Linked DNA regions of Schizosaccharomyces pombe. Changing the gene in region 1 together with any one later gene gives a genetic interaction. Each region holds a gene or a part of one and is shown on either strand. Other genes may lie near its edges.

Evidence for each region.
Region 2: mutations in mdm31 (region 1) and stn1 together harm fitness more than expected from each alone (negative genetic interaction), as found in Schizosaccharomyces pombe (one large-scale study listed by BioGRID).
Region 3: of mdm31 (region 1) and mdm35, a mutation in one rescues a mutant of the other (synthetic rescue), as found in Schizosaccharomyces pombe (one large-scale study listed by BioGRID).

The regions. Positions count from the first base shown.
Region 1 is NC_003424.3:1,933,254-1,941,622, forward strand, and holds mdm31 (protein Mdm31), read right to left. Parts: upstream 4,896-8,369; 5' UTR 4,730-4,895; coding exon 3,083-4,729; intron 2,982-3,082; coding exon 2,823-2,981; 3' UTR 2,710-2,822; downstream 1-2,709. Other genes in the region: sdd3 (metallopeptidase), read right to left, coding at 1-1,445; mug151 (transcriptional regulator HCNGP-like protein), read left to right, coding at 2,104-2,544; ste24 (putative CAAX prenyl protease), read left to right, coding at 5,737-5,751, 5,822-7,141; SPOM_SPAC3H1.06C (transporter), read right to left, coding at 7,764-8,369. UniProt on the Schizosaccharomyces pombe protein: Involved in the organization of the mitochondrial membranes and the global structure of the mitochondria. Also required for mitochondrial distribution and mobility as well as for the maintenance of mitochondrial DNA nucleoids structures.
Region 2 is NC_003423.3:1,158,826-1,166,519, forward strand, and holds stn1 (telomere cap complex subunit Stn1), read right to left. Parts: upstream 4,258-7,694; coding exon 4,149-4,257; exon of another isoform or gene 4,094-4,148; coding exon 3,995-4,093; exon of another isoform or gene 3,865-3,994; intron 3,841-3,864; coding exon 3,071-3,840; 3' UTR 2,660-3,070; downstream 1-2,659. Other genes in the region: protein meu18, read left to right, coding at 1-1,430; protein mim2, read left to right, coding at 5,493-5,667, 6,017-6,060; rib4 (6,7-dimethyl-8-ribityllumazine synthase), read left to right, coding at 6,656-6,697, 6,985-7,422.
Region 3 is NC_003423.3:740,931-747,296, reverse strand, and holds mdm35 (protein Mdm35), read right to left. Parts: upstream 3,229-6,366; coding exon 3,190-3,228; intron 3,128-3,189; coding exon 2,957-3,127; 3' UTR 2,660-2,956; downstream 1-2,659. Other genes in the region: rti1 (DNA repair and recombination protein), read right to left, coding at 1-29, 75-153, 206-458, 517-696, 850-933, 1,032-1,262; U4/U6 x U5 tri-snRNP complex subunit Prp31, read left to right, coding at 3,778-5,334; golgin protein Rud3, read right to left, coding at 5,817-6,366.

The sequences.
Region 1 (8,369 bases):
GACGCCCCCAGCAGACATCTCCGTTTATTAAGCTGCTCCGCATTCTCTTTCTTGATGTTTTCAGCCATTTCGAAAGAGGGAAGCGCAATTACTGTCACTGAATTGTTTTCTACAAACCATTTTTTTAACAATTTTAGCCAGTCCTTTTCTTCCCATTCCTCTAATAATCTATTGTACTCCAGCATCTTTAATAAGTTAGGAAGATCTTTACCTTCTCGACTTCCGTAAACATGATCCAAAGTCAAAATTTTCATAAAGAGAGAACTAGGGAAAGCCTCTAGATTTGTTAAGTATTGATCGCGTCGTGTTTTTAAGTAATCCTTCATACGATTCATGTCGATTTGCTTAGTTTCGGCCAAAAGACGTAAAGCACGTTGTTCTAAGCCATTAATTTTTTCTAAAGGAACGCTGTCAAAAAACAACTGAATAGAACAAGGGACACGGAGTGAGACATAAAAATAAACAAATGAGCAAAACGGGTCTTCAATTTCAACAAAGGTCTGCCCAAATGGGGAGACGGCAGATTCACTCAGGAATTCACAAAGTGTTTCAATAGCAAAAACAGTGTATGCATCTAAGGCCGAGGGTCCATTCCAAGCTAAAGAAACAGATCCAGTATATTCGTCTTCGGAAGAAAATTTAACAGTTTTCAAAATTGGCTCAGGAATAGTGTAATCCACATTAGTTGAACACCATGGACGCGTCCACGTAGGTGGAGTGATAATACCATTAGCTAAAATTTCCTTTACGATACCAGAGGCACAGCTTAGAAGCCTTGATTCGTTAATGCACCCGGTCACAATTAAACAAATATTGCTTGGAACATACATTTCCTTATGATATTCTCTAATTTTCTCGATAGACAACTTGCGAAGTTCGCTGGGATGACCACCAGTCTCATAATAGTAACCACTGGTAACTGGATATTGACTAGTTCTCATACAATCAAACATAACATCCGTCTCTGAGCTTTGAGTATTCTGCATTTCAGAATAAACAACACCGGACTCTTCTCCCATACCATTTATATGATAAACTTCTGTGCAAAACGCTTCATCGCTTAGAATTGGAGACAAAATGTGATCTGCAAATACAGGCAACAGACGAAGAAATCCATCTTCCTCAGCAGCAGAAAGCTCATATGAAGTATAATCAACATCGGTACAAGCATTGATATCACCACATGCCCTGCCAGCAAATTTTGTAAGAATGCCATTCATGGGATACTTTTTACTGCCCATGAAACACAGATGTTCAAGGGTATGAGGACAGCCAAGATTATCGTGAGCTTCAGTTGCTACTACAAATGATCCTTGTAATCTGGATGTTGGAGTTTTTACTGAAGCGACGCTGAACCCAGTTGCATCGTTTATCCATTTGTTGACCGTGTAATTCAATATACGCTCACTTGAGATTTGGCGAAATGATGTGTCATCAGAAAGCATACTTTAATAAAGTTATCCAAAACAGCAAAATCGAGCAAAATGAGCAATACAATGTCCCGTTTCCCAACGAGAGTGCTGTTGACTTTAATAAAAAATCCTTAACAAGAGAATACAAATACGATGTTTAAGGATTCTCTATTAAAGAAATTTAGAATTACCTCTATAACAGCGTAACAACTAAGTAGTAGTAAGAAAATGGTCAAGAAATTTCATACTTTAGTATGCATAAACTGTATAGACGAGGTAACGTCGTTACTGTTCAGTTTGGTTTGCAAACACCTCCTTAATAGAATAAACGTTCGCTATTAATGAATAGGTTTGAGATATGTTCAAAGATAGTTTTGTGTTATTAATGCAAACATACTAGTTGTAAAAAACGGATTTATCATATGGTAATTAAAAAGTGATTTGTACCTCAAAATGAACGAGCAATGTACTCCTAGTCCAACTATAGGTTTTTACACTTGTTAACAAACAACCAGTAGATGCATTTATAAATTACCTTTCCTAGGTTTTAATTAAGGAAATTAAAAAGTCTGCATCTTTTGGATGATAATAGCAAACCTATATATTTTGCAACCACTATGGTTGCACAATACTTAATTTGCTTCTACCGTACACTATCTATCTACTTTAAATGCTTTGAGTTTTAAGAGTTATGTCTTTGGTAGCCTACGACTCAGAGGAAGAGGAACAAACTTCGTTAGTAAATGAAAACAATGATATTAAAGGACGTTCTGAGGAACCCCATTGGAAAATCCCAAATTCTCCTAAAGCTGAAGTTGACACAGAGCTGGAGAAAAAGATAAAGCAATTTATAAAATTAAAGGCAAAGGGCATTCATTTTCATACGAGACTATCAGAAAATGAAAATTTCAGAAACCCAAAGTTACTTGATAATTTGCAGGATTTTCTGGATATTAAGGAGCCAAGAGGAACTATGATATCTAAGGATATGTGGGATCCAACGGACTTTCATAAAAACGTCTATGCATCCGCACTCTCTAAATCACAGGATGAAATGATTGCCAGGCGTGAAAATTACCAAAAGCATGATAGAACTGAAATTAAATTTCAAACCTCTCAACATCCTAAATAAATTTGAGTATCAAAAGATAATGTGTTTGTAAAAATAATTTCGTTACCGAATATATATAAGACTACTTAATTTAATACCTTAGCCTGTTATGAATAAATGATCCAGAAATGCCAATTTTGATAAGACATTTATATGGCTAGTAGCTTAAGTCATTAGTTTACCCTAGTCAATTTTCAAAAATAATAATTGTTATTATAATAATTTTAACTACCGATAGAACAAAAAAGCCTTTCATGAAGAGAATCAGAACCGTAAATAATAAATAGCATCACTTTTAACTATTCGAAATTACTGATTGAAGAAGTTGTCGGAGCCAATTCCTGCAAAGAAACCAAAACTAAATGCAAAAACCTCCGAAGACTCCAGTAGCCAACTTTCTGAATTCGTTTTCTTCGTATCTCTTGATTTAATACATCTCGAGCAAACGATTCATACACCTACATCAAAAATTAGTATTTATTAATATTCAAAAGCGTAAATTACTCTTAAATTTTAGGAAAAGACGCTCTTTTATAGTAAGGAACAGGGTAGAACTTACCTGCGCCGAAATTTCTTGTAAAACACCACTGTCGTAAAAAGTCCAGCTTCCATCAAAGTCAGAAAGCGGTTTTGATACATGACAAAGAATAGGGATGAATGTCCGTGTGGAATTAATGTAAGCAATAATAGGTCGAATTAAAGCATTGTTGATATAGCTTACTTGATTTGTAAAAATAGGAATTACGGCTTTGGGATTATGTAATTGCACATTAACATCAAAGTGAACGTCTTTGTAAACATCCTCATCTTTTTCTTTCTTTTTCAATTTGTCCATCAAACTTATCCACGCTTTTTGGAAAGAATTTTCCGAAGGTTCTGATGGAAAAGAAATATTAACTAAAAAATCAACACTGCCATCATTAATCCATCCAAATGCTCCCGAAACACCTCGATTTAGATGATCGATTGCGACATTATCAATACGCAAGCGACTATGTCGCATATCATCGAGTTGTTTACCGACTTTTAGGTACGGTGAATATGGACGAAGTTGTAATCGATGAATAGTAAACATACTATTATCAAAGCTTCCGGTGAGAGTCTTAGCATTCATTAAATCATAAAATAACCATTGTTTTCTAAGCCTAGGAAGCTCACAAAAGAAAACACTAACGGGGAACTTCCGAAAACCTTTAGGTTGTAATAAAGTAACACGCAAATCCTCTAGCTTAAATTTTTCGATTTCAAAATCCCCCCAGTTGTGTTTACGACGGTAATCACGAGGATCGGAGGATGGATCCCATTCAATAAACCGTCTATCAACTACACCTCTAACACCTTTCAGCTGAAGTTCCTTAACAATCCCTTTACCATTTAAAAACCTAGCAAAGCTAAACGAAACATCTGCCTTATCAATGGATAACTCAAATTGAGTATAGTTTCCCTGACTCAGAGCCTCAGTGTCAGGTTCCTCATTAGAATCATAACGTTTTCGTAAAGCCATGTACTCTTTTTCATAATCAGACTTATTATTCGGATTTTGTGCTCCAATGCCATTCAAAGTATCAGGTCTTCTAATTACGGAAATTTTGTTGAATGTGATTAATCCTTTCCTCCAATTGGGAACAATTGCGCTTTCAAAGACGAATTGGAACCCTGTATTTTTTGTCATTAACTGACCAATCCATCTTCCTAATAGTTCCTGTGCAGAAACAGTGTTTAAGGTGTACAATAACAATGAAAAAAAAGTTGTTGTACCAACTACGATCCAAACTATATGGCTCACAAGCCACCAACTGAAAAAGGCAGTAACATTATCCACTGTTAAGGGTTTGTTTTGCTTAAAAAGAAAGCTTTTCATTTTTTTTAATACGCGAAATGGCATTGCCCTTTTAACGCCGGAAGATTGATTTGATTCATTTTTGTTGAGAATCTCAGGGTTTTCAACATCTCCAGACGAGTAACTTCTAACCATAGATATTTGCTTAATAATTACAGGTGTAGTACGGGACAATATCCCACTGTTTGAAATATTCCTAGCTGCTAGTCTAGGAAGAGTAGGAAAACTCTTGAAGCTGCTAGATTGCAAAACGGTTTGCTTGAGTAAGGCATTTTGAGTAGAAGCACGAACATGATAAGAAATTAAATAGGGCTTACGGGCCTGAACAATCCTTGCTATATTCTTCGCAAGTCGTGATTCGAGCATCAACTTATGAGGTCAAATAAATAATACCTTCTCGAAAAGCACAATTAGTGTATATAATTACAGTCAAGACAAATTATTCTATATATGCTTCTGTTTTAAAGAAATAAACTGCCTGTAATGATATATTATAAAAGTTTCAATGCCTTTCCTGTATATGGTTGTCTGCAGAAAGAAAATAGGAGAATAACTAGCAAAGTTTACACTAAAATCTTTAGCTAAGATGGCAAAATATATAGAAAATAACGATGATCCATTCCAAATTATTATATATGCTTCTGAGTATACACTTTATAAATCAGATGTTTTGTACGAATGAGATGACATCGAATTATTACATACTTTGCTTAATTATAACAATTAGCTAACTAGCTGACTATAAAGCAACAACTGTATACACATTTTATACTAACTGCCTGCATTAACTACTAAAATTTAATTATGCTGGTTGAGTTATTAAGACTATTGCGCTTAGTTTGAATAGAATTCCAATTCATGTCCAAGGCATTAAGAAGCCGCCAAAAAGCATACTGTTATAGTAGTATTTAGCTTCTGAATATAACTTCACCGAGTTCTTTTCAAGATAAAATTAATTTTATCTTTACTTACATATTCCAATTCTTTATTTTCGTTAATTTCATCTGGCAATTTTAATGTTGTTGATGCAACGGCTAAATAGACAAAGAAAAGTTGAGATTTCATTTTCGTTATCTATGATATATGCGTTATGCCTGTTAAAAATATTTACAGAATCACAATCCATTTTTAACTGAATTAATGGACGCAAATTATGTATTAAATGTCTAGGTCTTATGCACACCAAGGTAGCATGCGTGCAACATGAATGTTACAATATGTTTCTCGCAAAAAGCTATTTGATTACTTCTTTTTGTTTTTTCTTCGATAGTTGAACTCTATTTATGTCACCTGGCCTTTGCTTCCTAAAAGAAATTTCAGTCATACAAGCTACACCAAAGCCTACTACAAGAAGTTTTGCCAATTGTTGTAAAATGGGAATTCTACAGGTATATAACGATTAGTTGATTTTTTATGAATATATTTGGGGTTTAAAACTTTGTATTAACGTTTTTATAGCATTTGATGCACATTTTAGACATTCCAGGCTTCCCTTGGAAAATAGTAATTGCTGGATTTTCTATTGGAAAGTATGCCTGGGATTTGTATCTTCGTCGCAGGCAAGTGCCATATTTGTTGAGAGAAAAGCCTCCTGCTATTTTAGCTGAACACGTTGATGAAAAAAAGTACCAAAAAGCATTGTCTTATGCTCGTGATAAAAGTTGGTTTTCTACTATTGTTTCCACATTTACTTTAGCCGTTGATCTTTTGATTATTAAATATGATGGACTTTCATACCTTTGGAATATCACTAAGTTTCCTTGGATGGATAAATTAGCTGCTTCATCCTCAAGGTTTAGTCTATCGACTTCGATTACGCATTCCTGTGTTTTCATGTTTGGACTTACTCTGTTTTCTCGTTTAATTCAAATTCCTTTCAATCTTTACTCAACCTTTGTGATCGAGGAAAAGTATGGTTTTAATAAATCGACTTTAAAGATCTTCGTAATTGATCTTTTAAAGGAATTAAGCCTTGGTGGTTTACTTATGAGTGTTGTCGTTGGTGTTTTCGTTAAAATTTTGACCAAGTTTGGTGATAATTTTATTATGTATGCATGGGGTGCCTATATTGTTTTTGGCCTCATTTTACAAACTATTGCTCCTTCTCTAATTATGCCCTTGTTTTACAAGTTTACACCGCTTGAAAATGGAAGTCTTAGAACACAAATTGAAGAGTTAGCTGCCAGTATCAATTTTCCCTTGAAGAAGCTTTATGTGATTGATGCTAGTCGTAGATCAACTCACTCCAACGCTTTCTTTTATGGGCTTCCATGGAACAAAGGAATTGTACTTTTTGATACTCTTGTGAAAAATCATACGGAACCGGAACTTATTGCAATTCTTGGTCACGAACTTGGTCATTGGTACATGTCTCATAATTTAATTAATACTATTATAGACTACGGAATGAGTCTGTTCCACCTCTTCTTATTTGCTGCTTTTATTCGAAATAATAGCTTATACACTTCCTTCAATTTCATTACCGAAAAACCTGTAATTGTTGGACTTCTCCTTTTTTCGGACGCATTAGGTCCTTTATCCTCCATCCTTACGTTTGCCTCCAACAAAGTTTCTCGCCTTTGTGAGTATCAAGCGGATGCTTTTGCTAAACAATTAGGGTACGCAAAGGATTTGGGTGATGGTTTAATACGCATTCATGATGACAATCTTTCTCCTTTGGAGTTTGATTCTTTATATACCTCGTATTACCATAGTCATCCCATCTTGGTTGATCGTTTGAATGCAATTGATTACACGACGCTAAAAAAGAACAATTAGGTTTCATGAGTGAATGAAATTATGTCAAATGCACGAATTTGCCTTAAAATTGTTAAAATATATTATGCTTACATATCTGTATAGAAAAATGATATTACTAGTAACAATGAGTAGCAACGATTCAATATGAACGTATACTAAACTAAATTTGAGAAATTGCAACATTCCTTAACGAAAATAAAGTCAGGGGGAAAAAAATCAATAAAAAAAAAGAAACATCAAAACAAAAAAAGACGATATGCAATAACTCGTAACAGCACATACAAAATTGGTTCATAAAATTTGAGTATGGTGGACAGCACCAGCAAATGCGAAATATCAAAAGCGAAGGGAACGTATGAGCATATTAATCAATTAACTAATTTAAGACTTGCCTAAAAATCCACTATTCATAGAAAGATATATCAGGAGGACAAATCAAAATTATGCTTGCTTACAATTAAACTTGCAAACATTAAACATTGGAAGTCGAATAGCAAAGCGTCTTCATCATTAAACGTAGGTGGAGAAAATTTCAAGCAGATAAACAACAGTGCTATAATTTCAATATAGCAAAAAGTAAAAATTGATAACCGGTTGTCTAGTGATTTTTCCACAAAGGTTTAAAAAAAAAGAACGGTTTTTAAGGAGCATCTTTGAATCCCTTATCCTTTTCTTTGTACTCCGTGACGCTTTGAGATAACTTCTCTTGCTTTGTAAAAAACGACAAAAGCATTCCTACTCCTGCAACTGGACAATTTACAATCCAAATCATACGAATGGCATTAGCATAGGCATTGAATACAAAGTTCTTTTCGCTTACGTTGGGAATTGAAGCAATTTGAGAGTATGATAGCCCTGCAGAATACTTCGTTCCTTTTAAAAGTGTCGTTAGTTGCTGATCATAGATTACCGCTCCCATCGATATTCCCACAGATGCACCCATATTTCTTAGCAGCATAAATGCAGAACAGGAAGTCGCTATCAAAGCAGGAGGTACAGAAGCTTGAACAGCAATGAGATTTGGTTGAAATAGATTTCCAGTTCCGACTGCTGTCAAAGCCAAGAATCCCATGGTACGTGATATGTCCGTGTTATAATATATCGCAATCATACTACCGGTACCAGCTAATAAAACTATCCATCCTCCAATCATTGGATATCGATAATTTTTCAACTTTCCTATTCCCATACCACTAACAGCAGAAAGAAGTGAGGATACAACCGCTAGAGATAATGTGTGAACGCC
Region 2 (7,694 bases), on another chromosome or scaffold:
TGCTTTACTGTTTTCATTATGCGTTGGATTTATTTGCAGATGAATACAAAGTTACAGCCAACGATAAACACTATGATTATAGGCTAAAATCCCATCGTATAAAAGATAAAATAACCACAAAATGCAAAGGTACGACCAAGTATTTTAATTCACGCCATTTCGAGATTAAGAATGCTGTTGAAAACCTTCCATCATTCAGCAGCAATCTAACTACTATTGGAAACAACCTAAGAATTTTTTGGAAAAATGGAAAAATCCGTTGCATCAAATTGACATGCACACCGGACGCAGAAATAGTAAATTTTACATCAAATCCAAATCGTTATAGGTTTTATGAAACGAATATGCAAGAACTCATTAGAAAAACAATATGCGAAAAATCCGATAAAGCGATAGAAAAAACGTTTTTATGCGCTCAACTCTTCAAAACATTTTGCGAGGATGGCGTACTGCAAACCTTTCAGCCTGGATTTATTCAACTAGACATCGCATCAAATTTACAAGAAATAAAGAAAGGCACTAAAGAATATAGCCTTAAAAGTCTCGAAATGACCACCACAAAAGAAAGCAATGAGACATTATGTTCCAATGACTCCAAACATAGAATCGCACGTTTAAAAAATGAAGATAATACCCAGAAACCTATTAGCAAAAAGAGGAAGTCTAAAAAAGCTTCCCATAAATATCTTAGCTCAAGAACTGCTCCCAATGTTGACTTTGGCAATTTCGCAAAGGAAAGGCACAGAGAAAATGATGTTTCAGAGCTTTACTCCAAGACTAAAAGGACTTCAAAAATTAGGGAACTATACAAAGAAATTGGTTATGACAAGAATGAGTTTATTCATGAATTGCGCGAAAATGAGGGTCCATCCGTTCTCTACGATTCTGGATTAGATCAAAATGGCACGAATTATGATGACGCTTTTGCTGCCCCGGAAGCCATAAGCATTGAAAAGTATGTTAGCATAAACGAAGAAGATCCCAAAAGTCCTAAAAAGGAAACAAGTTACCAAGTACAGGAAAAACTTTCACAATTTTTTCAAGAAGAGATGATTCATCTGCTAGAAATGGGTGAAGCCTGCACATCTCGAGAGTCGCAAAAAACAAGGAAAAAGAACTTAAAGGAGAACATTAGAAAGCAACGAACTACGAGTACTGCTATTAGGGACATTGCCATAAAATTTCTCGATGACGCCAAATGCGAAACAGAAGACTCAACAAATTTGACGAATAGAGAAGGTGAAGCAGAAAAGACACTAAATACACAACCTTGGAAAAATCTAATTGAGAATTTTATATCGGAGCTTCAAGCCGAGGAAGAAGAAAACAATATCACAGAATGGTCAGACATAATCTCCGTCCGAAATGATGAAGAAAATCAAATTTACGAACTTCCTACTTGTCAATTGGAGACCAATTTGTTGGTATAGATTCAATTGACTAAACGACTGGAGGTTTCGTTAAAATATGCCAAGCTGGTCTGCCAATGCATGTACATCACAATGTAAATAATAATTAATGAAATGATTTTGTTTTTAAAACATTATTCGATAGTAATAATACCAAACTGTTAGTACATCGGATACAGCAACAAAATAATTTACACAAAGAAAAACATCCTAATGTATAACAAGGAGTAATGTGTACAGTAAACAGTTTATTTTTCAAATATACAACAGGGTAGCCCAGAGAGAACCAACATACAAAATATGAAGAAAAAACACAGGTTGCGAAATTTTTATTGAGTTAATGAATAGCACACTTAGAAATAAAGTCGCGATTGAATGAAAGTAAACGTATTCCCAATAACCTCTTAAAAATCAAATCTTCATATGAATTACTCGAACTGGAAAGATATTCTGCAATTCAAAAGGCCCCTTAGCATGAAGGAGCTAGAGTAGTATTTTTCATACAATAATACCAAACATATTAATCAGTTAAGATAATATAAATTTTGGTAATATTTCATGAGCAAAACAAAATACCACAATATCATTGTGTGTAGTATGATATTGAAATTTAAATTTTTTAAGGAGGTTATAATGAAGCTTCCTTCATAAAAACAATCTTACACGACGGGACTCGAACCCGCAACCTTCTCGTAATTCACTCCCCAACAACGATCAGGTCGTATAGGAATGAGATGCGCTACCATTGCGCCACGCGTAACAACCTTTGCCTGGTTAAAATTTAGTATAATTTATGCGTAGCTTATTATGAGGATTAAATTTTGAAATATAGATTTTGCGGCATAATACGAGCTTAAAGAAACCAATTATTATATTTATTGTTGCTTATTGAAACGAAATAAATTTTATTCGATGTGTGATCTCCCAGTGCGAGAATACTGGATCAATTAATAGATTGACATAACTCTACGACCATAAGCAATTCTTCGATACCTAAAAAAAAATAACAACCACCAATATGAAGTGTCAATTTAGTAGTTAAAAACAACTAAAATAAATTGCATAAGTTTATGGGCTTATCTCGTTTTTACTCAACTTCAAAGCAGTAAGGAGCATCATTGCAATCTATACAATTGGCAATCGGATGCCTTAATCTTTTTTTTTAGTAGTTAAATCTTATCTAATATTCCAATTTCAGTATGAAGAGCAGCTAGATTTTACGACATGATCAGAAAAGACATAGTTTTATCCTCATGACTTCCAACTATAATAATCGAAGTACGATGCTTAGGCCAGTAAGCGATGCAAAGCATTTCAAGTTTGAACTTCAGGAAATTAAGAGTAACTTATTATCATGCTTAGTTATATTTCTTTACCCTAGATTGTATAAGCAGCTGATGAATTGGTGCTGACCATTAATTAAATTTGATGCAATGATGCTACTGATCAATTCAAAAGTAAAAAAGAAAGCTTTATACATGTAAATCTATTTCATCATCAGATTAACCGCTTATATACCCATGTGTACTTATTGATCTGTTTCCGTAAACATATTCTTAAATTAATAGAGGATTGTAATATTGCATATAGAACAATGAACTTAGTTTTAGGCAATTAAATCTCCGCGTCAATGTGATATTAAAGGAAACTGGAAATTCATTTTATACAAACTGATTATCTCGCACCCAGGTATATTTCTTTGCTTGCCTCCATTTCCCTTTTGTACGAAGCAAAAATTGACAAATGTGTTTAGCAATCGCAGAAAGAGGGAGTGTGATAAACATTGGGTTGGAATCTCTCACTATGCTTTGAACCTTGTGGGCTTCGAGAAGACCACTTGCCATCAGAGGAATCACAAAGCGTATTATGTCTTTTGAAGTGACAAGCATATAAACTGAATTTGACTTTCTCACAATCCGCCCATGTTGTAGTAATGTTTGCAAAGAGAAATTAAGCGCCAGTATGTGATTTCCATCACAGTTCTCTACTATTTCATTTTCGACGTTGAATATATGAACAAGTGGGAGGTGCAACTCTTTTGCTTTTAAATAAATAATGAGTTCTTCAATTGTAAATCCAGCTTGCACATTTAATTTACACATCTGCCTTATGCACTTAAGTAACTCCTTCGCATGATCTTTAGGAAAATAGGATTTCTTGGGTGTGCGAATGATTGAATGGTGATTTTTAGAGATTTTGGTTAAATTTTTTTTGTATCTCATCCTTTTCTGCCATGCCTTCCATTCATCATTTGGATCACGAAGTTCTTCAAACGACTGAGCAATTAATTCAACCTCAGATCGGAAAGAATTTATCTTTCCAAAGACACAGACAACATTTCCAGGAGACATAGATATTGCTCTTTTTGACATTGAAAAATCATCTTGAATAATAAACACGACACGCAATACCATCCCGCTACAATCATCCACTAAATTCAGTTAGGAAATAGAAAAAAGGGAGCTATAGAGGCAGATGCTTCTCAAAAGTTGATTTTATAAAAAACCTTAACTAGATTCAACAACTAAATGAGTCGTGTATGCAGTAGTGGAACTGCTTATTGCCTCAATGCTGATATTCGTTACCTGTTAAAACATGCTTTCCTTCATAAATATCAATTGCCGCAATATAGCCAACAATTTGAATCCATCTTATGGGAAATCCCATCCAGAAGCCAATGTATCCTAGATATTTGTAAGAATCACTTTGTGATATTTATTTTACAGAAAGAGCACTTACGCTGTAAATGTGGATGAAATGAAATTTTATGAACATCGCTAATAAACATGGGGTTCCATCTTGATAATGTAGGAAATTGATGCGTTAGTTGATTTTCATTTTCTAGCATTTATTAGGTCATTCCCTTAAAGACTTTCAACCATATGATTTGCAATTTTTCAAGTATATAAGTAAATAAAAATTAGTATGCTTCTGGTCAACTATCAACAACAATCGCAGCGTTTTCGAAAATTAAGCAATGATTTGGTGTTTGTGAAGTCTTCATCTTCCTGAGTGCGCGTAATAAGGATAGAGCAATTCTACGAGGATAATAACTATTTAAGTTTCTACAGTAAGATTAAAAGGAAAAAAAATATCTTAACTCTTTATTAGGACATGCATTGATGCTGTTATAAAAAATGCTAATTGACTAAACAACTTTATCAATTGAATTTAGTCTGGTTTCACGCAACTTAGTTATAATTGAATTTGAGAGAAGATCCTAAAAAAGACGTCTACTGACAAAAAGTGAGAGTACAGAATTCGTCAACCAATTTTGTAAATGTCACACCAATGTGCATTGTTTATATCTTGCTAAATTCTAGCACACAAATTCCTATCTTCATATACCGGATAATTCTAAATTATATGATTTATTTATGAATAGGGAATACGCAAGGAGGTATGAAAACCAAACTTCTTCAGTTATTGATGTTTCACATTCAACTGTTTTGAAGATAAATTATATTGCTCCTACTGTGTTCGATCAAGAAACCTCGTGGAAAAATGCATTCTTTAAAAGAGTAACTAAAAAAAACCAAAACTCCCAACTTTTTTTTGTTTTATGTTTATAACGGTCTATCAATTCTTCAATAAAGTGTTACCAAACAAAGCACTTAGAGGTAAGGATGGCAAAAATAAAGGCTTTTCTTAGGTCGAAATATTTGTTGTGAAACAAAGGGTATCCGCGAATAGCATGACAGCGGCTGTTCTGCTCAGCTTTCATCTGAAATTGAATAAACTAGCAATACCAAGAATACAAACAATGTACCCAAACTCATAGGTAAAGCATATAGAAACAAATAACCTCTTATCATCAGTGAATATGAATTATTTTTGCTGAATATACTCCCTGTTTTCAAAATTTAGTCTCACATGATCAATGTTGTTTCGACAAATGTCCTATGTATAAATGTAACAGCCACTATGTGACCTTCACCAGAGCCATACTTGGTAATAATACACTTTTAAGCATACGTTAAAGGGGTTTCGATTGCTGACAATAGAAAAATTTTTTAATTAAATTCTAAATACAACGTTGCTAGTTCAATCGAACTATTCTAAAGTCAGTTTAGTGAAAACAACATGGCCGAAGTTTTAGATCTTGAAATTGACCCAATTTCAGATGGAGAAGATGATACCTATTCTAGTGAATTGGATGATGATTTAAAGGATTCCATTGAACAATTGGAACGAGTTTTATGTTTGGTGGTGTTCCCGTTGTTAGGAAAGTTTCTTGGTCGTAAATTCGCATTTCATGGTAAGTTAGTATAAATTAAAGGAATAGGAATAGATGGTGGATTTTTTTTATTTGCTTTTAGTTTCTCAAAGAGGAAATAAGTTTTGCAAATAATTGAATAATAGAGCAAAAAAATCCGTTTTTGGAGAAAGATTGAGCACAACTGATTTTCTTATTCCATCAGCTTGAATTATAGCTTTTTCTTCCTATAAACTGTTTTTAAATGGTCTGCTTGTTGGTCTACATTTACATCTTTCGTTATTTTTTAAACATTTTTGTTTCCATTACTGTTCTATTAGTCTTTCATTCTTAACCTTTTCTACATCCTTAAACTTCTGTACATTTATTGTATACTAACCCTTGGATTTAGCATGGGCTCGCTGGTTAGAACGGAGGCGCTTGGTTAGTAATTAAAAAGATTTATTTCTGAATCTTCTTACATTCGCTGGTTTAATACTTATTGTTTCTGTTTCTATTATGATATTGTGTGATGAAACCCATAGTGTGCCATTCGTTCTCGGATGAAATTCTCTTTATGATCTGAATAAGAATTAATGAATATTTGATTACTGTATAAATCAATGTACTCGACATTTATTAAATTGTAACGGTTTTTGAATCCGAACTTCAAAAAAAATTGGAAATGTGTGTATTCATCGTTTTGCTTATTGATACTATTCATTATTTTTTCCTTTCTTTTTGTTCAAATGAACAAACTGTTTAGTAAAAATGAGACATTTGCATCTACGACAGCCTCGACATATTAATAAACGACGTTAATGGGGTGACTATTAGTAATCTATGTTCCAGTATTATACCTGCCTCATCAGATAGTAATTTCATGACTAAAATTAAAAAATTAATTAGAAATCAACATTTCTAGAACCTTAAGTATTAGATCTGTTGATTCTGTAAATCAGTTCTTGCTGCAGCTTATAAAGCACACGCACACCAAACTTGCTGCATTTTTCTGTATAGTCTTCACAACTATTTAATCAAGTAAATAATCATGTTCAGTGGTATTAAAGGCCCTAACCCTTCAGACTTAAAGGTATGAATCAAAAATATGAACTTGCGGTGTTTTCTTTGCGTTTCCTATTTAGCGCTGCTTGTTTTCACTTATATCCATGAAAAGAAGTTCGATATGTTTTTTTTTTTTAGTTGAACCTTTTCTTCTGAATACCGAATTTTATTTTATTTTCTACACGATATAATTATTGCTTAAGTGTTCTATTTACAAAAGCGCTTGGTCTTTTTTTTTTTAAATTTCTCCTCTTTCTCACGCAGTTTTTTCGTGAAAATAGTTAATTCAAAAGTTCTAATCAATTTTTTTTATAGGGACCAGAATTGCGCATTCTTATTGTCCATGCCCGCTGGAATCTTCAAGCCATTGAGCCTCTTGTTAAGGGTGCCGTTGAGACCATGATAGAAAAACATGATGTGAAGTTGGAGAATATTGACATTGAAAGTGTTCCGGGAAGTTGGGAACTTCCTCAAGGTATTCGTGCTTCCATCGCCCGCAATACATATGATGCTGTTATTGGCATTGGCGTTTTAATCAAAGGTTCCACCATGCATTTTGAATATATTTCAGAAGCTGTTGTTCATGGTCTTATGCGCGTTGGCCTTGATTCAGGTGTTCCCGTCATTCTAGGTCTATTAACAGTTTTAAATGAAGAGCAAGCTCTTTATCGTGCAGGTTTGAATGGTGGCCATAACCATGGAAATGATTGGGGATCAGCTGCTGTAGAGATGGGATTGAAAGCTTTGTATTAATTAAGTTGAATCCTTTGCTCATTTTTTTGTTAATAAAATATGCTACTGACTGTTTTGCTCTTCGAAAGGACCTACTGACATGCTAAAGCTTTAGTCATGATCCTTTATACATTGTCGCTTTCTTATGAGCACCGTCTTAGTTGAACAAGTATGTTTTTCATTCAATCGTTTGCAACGTATTTTCATGATTCCCCAGTTTGTTAAGATATACAGCTATGGGTTAATGTATACGATGTTTTAAATTTGCTTAAGACTTAATCCCAACTTATTAT
Region 3 (6,366 bases), on another chromosome or scaffold:
TTTCATCTCCTTCAAATTGGTTTAATAATCTATTAGTTAGTCGGCATTCGCACGCATTGATCGGTCTGTCTTACTCCTCGAATTCTTCTACCCTAGGTGACTCAGGAATAGGCGGGCGCTCGTGATGCATAAGGATGCTGTCCAGTTCTTCATCTATATTTTTATGTTTAGTTTTTCAATTTGGTCATTAATAAATTTTTTATACCTGCGTAAAGGTCTGTTTCTGAATGGCTTTGAATGGGGGGATTTTGCAGAGCTGGCAGACTTTCATGAATGTCATTCTCAATGAGATCTGATATAGGTTTATCCACATTGGAAATTTTCTTCTCTATTGAATTTTTATGTTCTAGCTTAACACTTTTATTTGCATGGCTTTCTATAGGGGTAGATACTTTCTGAGCGAACCGTGCATAGGGTCTTTTGTTTGCGCGTAAAAGGTTGTCGTAGTTGAACTCAGCCTAATTTTGCATTTCTGTCAGCTTAATTATTTTTAAATTTTATGTGTTTCCATATTACCTGGGCAGGTGCCATTTTCAAGATTTTTTGAATATAGCGTTTGTCGTAAAGGCAGTTACCCATGCTACTTCCAAAGTTTCGAAGAGCTCTCTTTAATGCGTCCGTAGTTCCTTCCTTTTTACATTTTTCGTAAGCTAATGCCTTCACTCGACAATTCTCTATAGATCCATATCCAACGTCCTAGAAAAACCATTTGTTAGCAAGAAATTGGCCACAATCTGATATGGAATAGTTAAGAACGAAAAAGTTATGAATTATTTCGAAAAAAATACCATTTGCTATAATTAATTTAACCGGTATCACGAAATATTACTGAGGACATGTTTTGTTTACCTCATGAAAGGAGCCATCCTTTAATGTAACGCGTACAATAACGCTGATTCCAACATTAAACTTTTTCTCTTTCGTTTCTTCTACCTTTTAATAATGATTAGTAAAAATAAATAAATATAGGCTCAAGAATTGATACGATTTGCACTTTTTTCGTAGAATTTTGACGCAAAATTAACACTTACATAATCGACATGAATGTCTTGAATGGAAGAAGACCACCCATTAAATCCAAATATTTCATTTGCGAGCTCAATTGCTTTCCATGCTTCTAAGTATGTAACAGATCCTCCTCCTGGACCACTTCGGCGAGAAATATACTCTGGGCCAAGTTGCATAGCAAGCAGTTTTGTCATCTTATCCTGTTGCGAATCAGTAAACTCTTCACAAGACGATTGATCAGGTAGCGAGCCCATTTTGAAAATGTTTTGGGGATCTTAATTTAAAGGAATGTTAAAAGAAGAATAATGGGTTTTTTATACGCGTCTTTCGCCACGTCACATTTGTTTGTTTACGCGTCTGTAAACATTGGACCTTGACAATTGAATGAACAAAAAAAAAAAAATCTAGCAAATTTAAAATGCAAATTAATAAAAAATCTCAATTTATTTCCTTAAACAAAGGCATGATTTTATAACGCAGAAAAAAAAAGCTTTTAAACATATAAGATTTCGAGAAGATTATGTCTGTTCTATTATACACTAAAAGAACAATTGAGCTTGCTAGTCACTTTCCTTCGACCTTACATTTAAGAACGTATTTGCTTTGTGTTACCAATTTATAAATGCTTGGTACACTCCAGAAAACAAAACAAACAGTAATGTGCTCTATGGTGTGCATAAAATTACTCATGGGCTGCTAGAAAGAGATTTAATTTTTTTAGGCAATTTCTTTATTTGTAAAATGATTTGCTTTGACATGTATTTCTTTAGAGATAAGTATTTCGATTTTTAATATTTTTGTTTATATATATGTAAATACGACTCTTAGGAAAATTATATATAAAAAAACCCAAATTTTCATTAACTAAAAATAATAACAATATTTTCTATAAATAAACTGCGCTGCAGAAGCTAGCAAAAACAAACCTGGTCTTATTAATTCCATCACCCACTCGTTTTTATTGTTTGCCCTTGTGCAATTGCTAGGTTAACGACTCAAAATTTGGCGTAACGCATAATATTTTAGGTAAAAATTTGTTTTTGATTAATAATCTGCAATTAAACTCTAATATACCAATTTGCTACCTAACTATGAAAGACATGTTTTACAAAGGAAATTGACTGCACTTCAACTTTCAGCTTCTTAATACCGTATATCAATTACAATCAATAGTATGAAATTCTCAACAGAACTGATTACTACTGGACTCAGTGTACTTTTGAATACAATAGTTCCAAAACTAATAAAGAAAATACTGAACATTCATGCAAAGCTTTTCCTAAACGTAGAGGTTCGAAATTTGACTTAACAGTTACAAATTTTATTTATTTAAAAATGATAAAAATCAATTGACATTTACAGTATTTTTTTTCATTCATTCAAATTTTTATTGTTTAACTGCGACTGATGTAGTTAATATGTATATGTTATATATTTTTTAGTGACAGACTTGGACACTATGCCTGAGTGGTTAAAGGGACAGACTAGAAATCTGTTGCGGTCTCCGCGCGCAGGTTCAAATCCTGCTGGTGTCGAATTTTTGCCAAAATAATGTTTTTGCATGTCGAAGTGAAAATAGACTAATTAAGAAGGAATACCATTCAATTCTTTGATTATAAGTATATTCTTACAAGTTTTCTACAAAGGTGAGTCCAATGAAAAGATGTTCATATCATTTTACTTAGTATGATCTTAGTCAACTACCCTTTTAGAGAATTATTGGTTTGCCAGCAAAAGGATATGCCGAATCATATGTTCTTAAACAACACCTTTAGAAGTGTATACTTGCTTCATGGCAGAGATATTTCGTTACCTACAATTCTGATAAACTTACAATTGCACAGATGCTTATCACTTTTTCACCCGTTTTAAAAGAAGAGCTTTATTCCATGGTACTGCTATCTTTCAAAGCAACCTTAAAAATCATATATCCAAAGATGCTCTTACTTTAATCTTCTTTGCGTGCTGCTTCAAGAAGAGGATCTATTTTTTTCGTTTTCAAAGCCTTCAAAAGACATGATTTGTACTCGGCAAAGAGCTCATCACAGTCTCTATTATGGAGATCACCTTTTAAGAATTTATTCGCATACCAATCGTTAAAGCAGGCATCATACTTCTTCTGTTCATAATTTAGTCAGCTAAAATTCGTCCACAGTGTTTATCATATAAAGAAAACTCTACCTTAGCAGGGGTACATTCTTCACTAACAGAGGACGACATAGTTGGATTCAGTAATCTTGATACTTTTCCAAACTGTTGAATGAATGAATTTTCTCCAGATCAATTAAACCAATTTCCTTGTCAAGGAAAAAAAAAATGAACGAAAAAAATTTAACAAACTTGAAGAAATGAATCAAGCAGTTTTCGATCCCAATTCCCTATGACCGTAGTAACGTGGTTGTCTAGTATGTGTAGAGCACTAAGCAAAATACCCCATGCCAGTTCAAGTTTGACACTCCACTTGGAACTTGTCAATAAAGCGAATTTGAATCTTATTTTTACTTATTTATTTGCATTAATCTTCAAATTTGCACGATTAGTGCTATTAAGCCTATAAAAAGTTGCAGTTCTATTAAATAGCCACATACATCTATTTTGTACATTACTATCCTGGCGTTTGCTGATTACGTCCTATTTTTGAATTATTCATTAGTCTTTTTTTTAGTGAAATCTTAGACTTCCAGAACCAGCTTTGTTATTTTTTTTTCTTTTTCTGGCAACTACGCTTGACAAAAAGTTTTTCATTAGGCAAGGATTTTAACCAATATAATGTCACTGGCAGATGAATTATTAGCTGATCTTGATGATATTGAGGAAACTACAGAATCTACAATTACTGATGAACTTGGGCCAGATGCGAAGAAAAGGCGGTTAGAGTTACAATTAGAGGAAGGAAATGGCATTTCTGCTGAATTAGAAAACGATTTGGATATTACCAAAATTAGCGATTCTGCTCAAAAATTGCCTAGTGAAGTTGCTAATAAATTTAATGACAATAATGAGAACATTTATCAGCTGTTGAATTCTACACGTCTTCGCGATATCATAGAAGGAACTGAGAAATATAAAGGCACCGAAAAACAAGCTATCACTGGAAACATCGAAGATGATCTCGAATATCACCTTATCGTGGATTCTAATTCAATTGCGATGGAAATTGACGATGAAATCCTGCGGCTGCACAGACTCGTGAAGGAATGGTATCATGACCGATTTCCTGAATTAAGTAGTTTGGTCTTGAATGCCTTTGACTATTGCAAAACTGTTAGTTCTCTGTTAAATGATTTAGACAACAGCAAAACCAAACTTTCCTTTCTTCCTTCTGCTACAGTGATGGTTATTGCTACAACAGCAACGACAACAGTGGGAAAGCCTCTTCCAGATGAAATGATAAAAAACGTTAAAAATTGCTGTGAGGCAATTCAGCAATTGGGTGAAGAAAAGCAAAAAATTATTGAATATGTCCAATCAAGAATTAGTGTCGTAGCTCCTAATTTGTCTGCAGTCGTGGGTTCTACCACAGCTGCCAATTTAATCGGCATTGCAGGAGGATTGACTAGACTTGGAAAGTTTCCTGCTTGCAATTTACCAGCGCTCGGAAAAAGGAGGCTGACAACAATTGGTATTAACAATCCGGCTGTTAGTGGGGATTATGGATTTTTGTATATGTCGGAAATTGTTCAAAAGACCCCTCCTGATGTACGAAAGCAAGCTATCCGAATGACTGCTGCTAAAGTTGCTTTAGCAGCAAGAATCGATTCCATTCATGAATATCCTGATGGCTCATTTGGCATATCTGCTCGAAAGGAAGTTGAACGGAAAATTGAAAAGCTTTTGGAACCTCCATCACAGAAACCAACTGTTGCGCTACCCGTTCCTGACGATAGGCCAAAACGTCGTCGTGGAGGAAGAAGAATTCGCAAGATGAAAGAGCAATATGCCGTAACGGAATTGCGGAGATTACAGAATCGCGTCGCCTTTGGTAAGGAGGAGGCGGAAGTCTTTAATTTTGACGAAACGGAAGGTCTTGGTATGCTTGGTCAAGAAGGTGAAGGAAAAATTCGTGCAGTGTCAATTGATTCTCGAACTAAATTACGGTTACCAAAAGCGCGGAAGGCCCAACTACAATCAATGGCACAGAAGAATCCCCTTGCTGCAAGCGGTTTACAAAGTTCATTATCCTTCACACCTATTCAAGGCATTGAACTAGTGAACCCCTTACTTCAACGACAACAAAAAGTAGAAGAGGCCAACAAATGGTTTCGTGATGGTGTTTTTACACAGATAAAGAAGGATTCTAATGAGCCGAAAAATAAATTTTCATAATAATGTCTTCATAATGATTAGTTACTTTGCATATAGCTATGTTGCTTTTGCATACTAGTAATACAGACCATAACTATGACCTGAGTGATTAAAATAAAATGATATTTTTAAAATTCTTCGAAAAAACTGATATTAACAAACAATTTTGAAAATTAAGAATATTGACTAATAGATGAAATTGCAACAAGCGCTTTTGCCATAAAGCTAGGCATAGCAGGAGAAGGCAAAATATCAAAATGAACGTATGAAACTATTACTTCAAGAATGATATAGTCAACCTTCAAAATGTGTGAAAAGAGAGTAAAAAAATACTAAAACCTTGTACGCGCGGCAAAAGGTAACCCCTAATTAAGTTGTGAAGTAAGAAAAAAAAAAGCGATACATAAAAAGAGCGAAAGATATTATTATTTACAGAAAAAAGAAAAATCTTTCATACCATTGCTCAATTGAAACGTAAAATTATCGGTTAGTGTGGAAGAAAATTATGAGTCATGGAAAGAACGTCTTTTGGAAAAGGAATGATCGGAGAATAGAGAGTTAGAGGACGCACTGTGAGGAATACTCCAATTATTTACAGAGGAACCAGGACGTTGAAGTCCCGTTTGTTCCCTTTGCGTATCGTTCCAATCTAACACGGAAGAAATTAATTGCAATATTTCGAAACGTTTAGTGTCAGCGCGAGGAAGCGTCAAAAAGGAGACAAACAAATTAGAAATAAGTTGTTTGTCAATTTTTTCTGCATTATTTCCATCTTTAAGCATGCAGAGAGCCTTTGTAAGATGTTCATTCAAAACAACGGCCTCGTGCTGCAGTTTACCAATAAGTAGGGTTTTTTCTTTCACCTCGTGCTCCAAATCAGAGACCCTTGAAAGCCTTTTCTGTGTAGCATCTAACTCATTTTGCAAATCTTCGTACTCTTTTGATTTAGAAGCGAATTTCTCAGTCACGTCGTCCATGGCCTTCTGCCAATTTCTGGTAAGTTCACCGAGGTTTTCAGTATGGGAAGCTTTGGTGGATTCTAATTCAATTTCT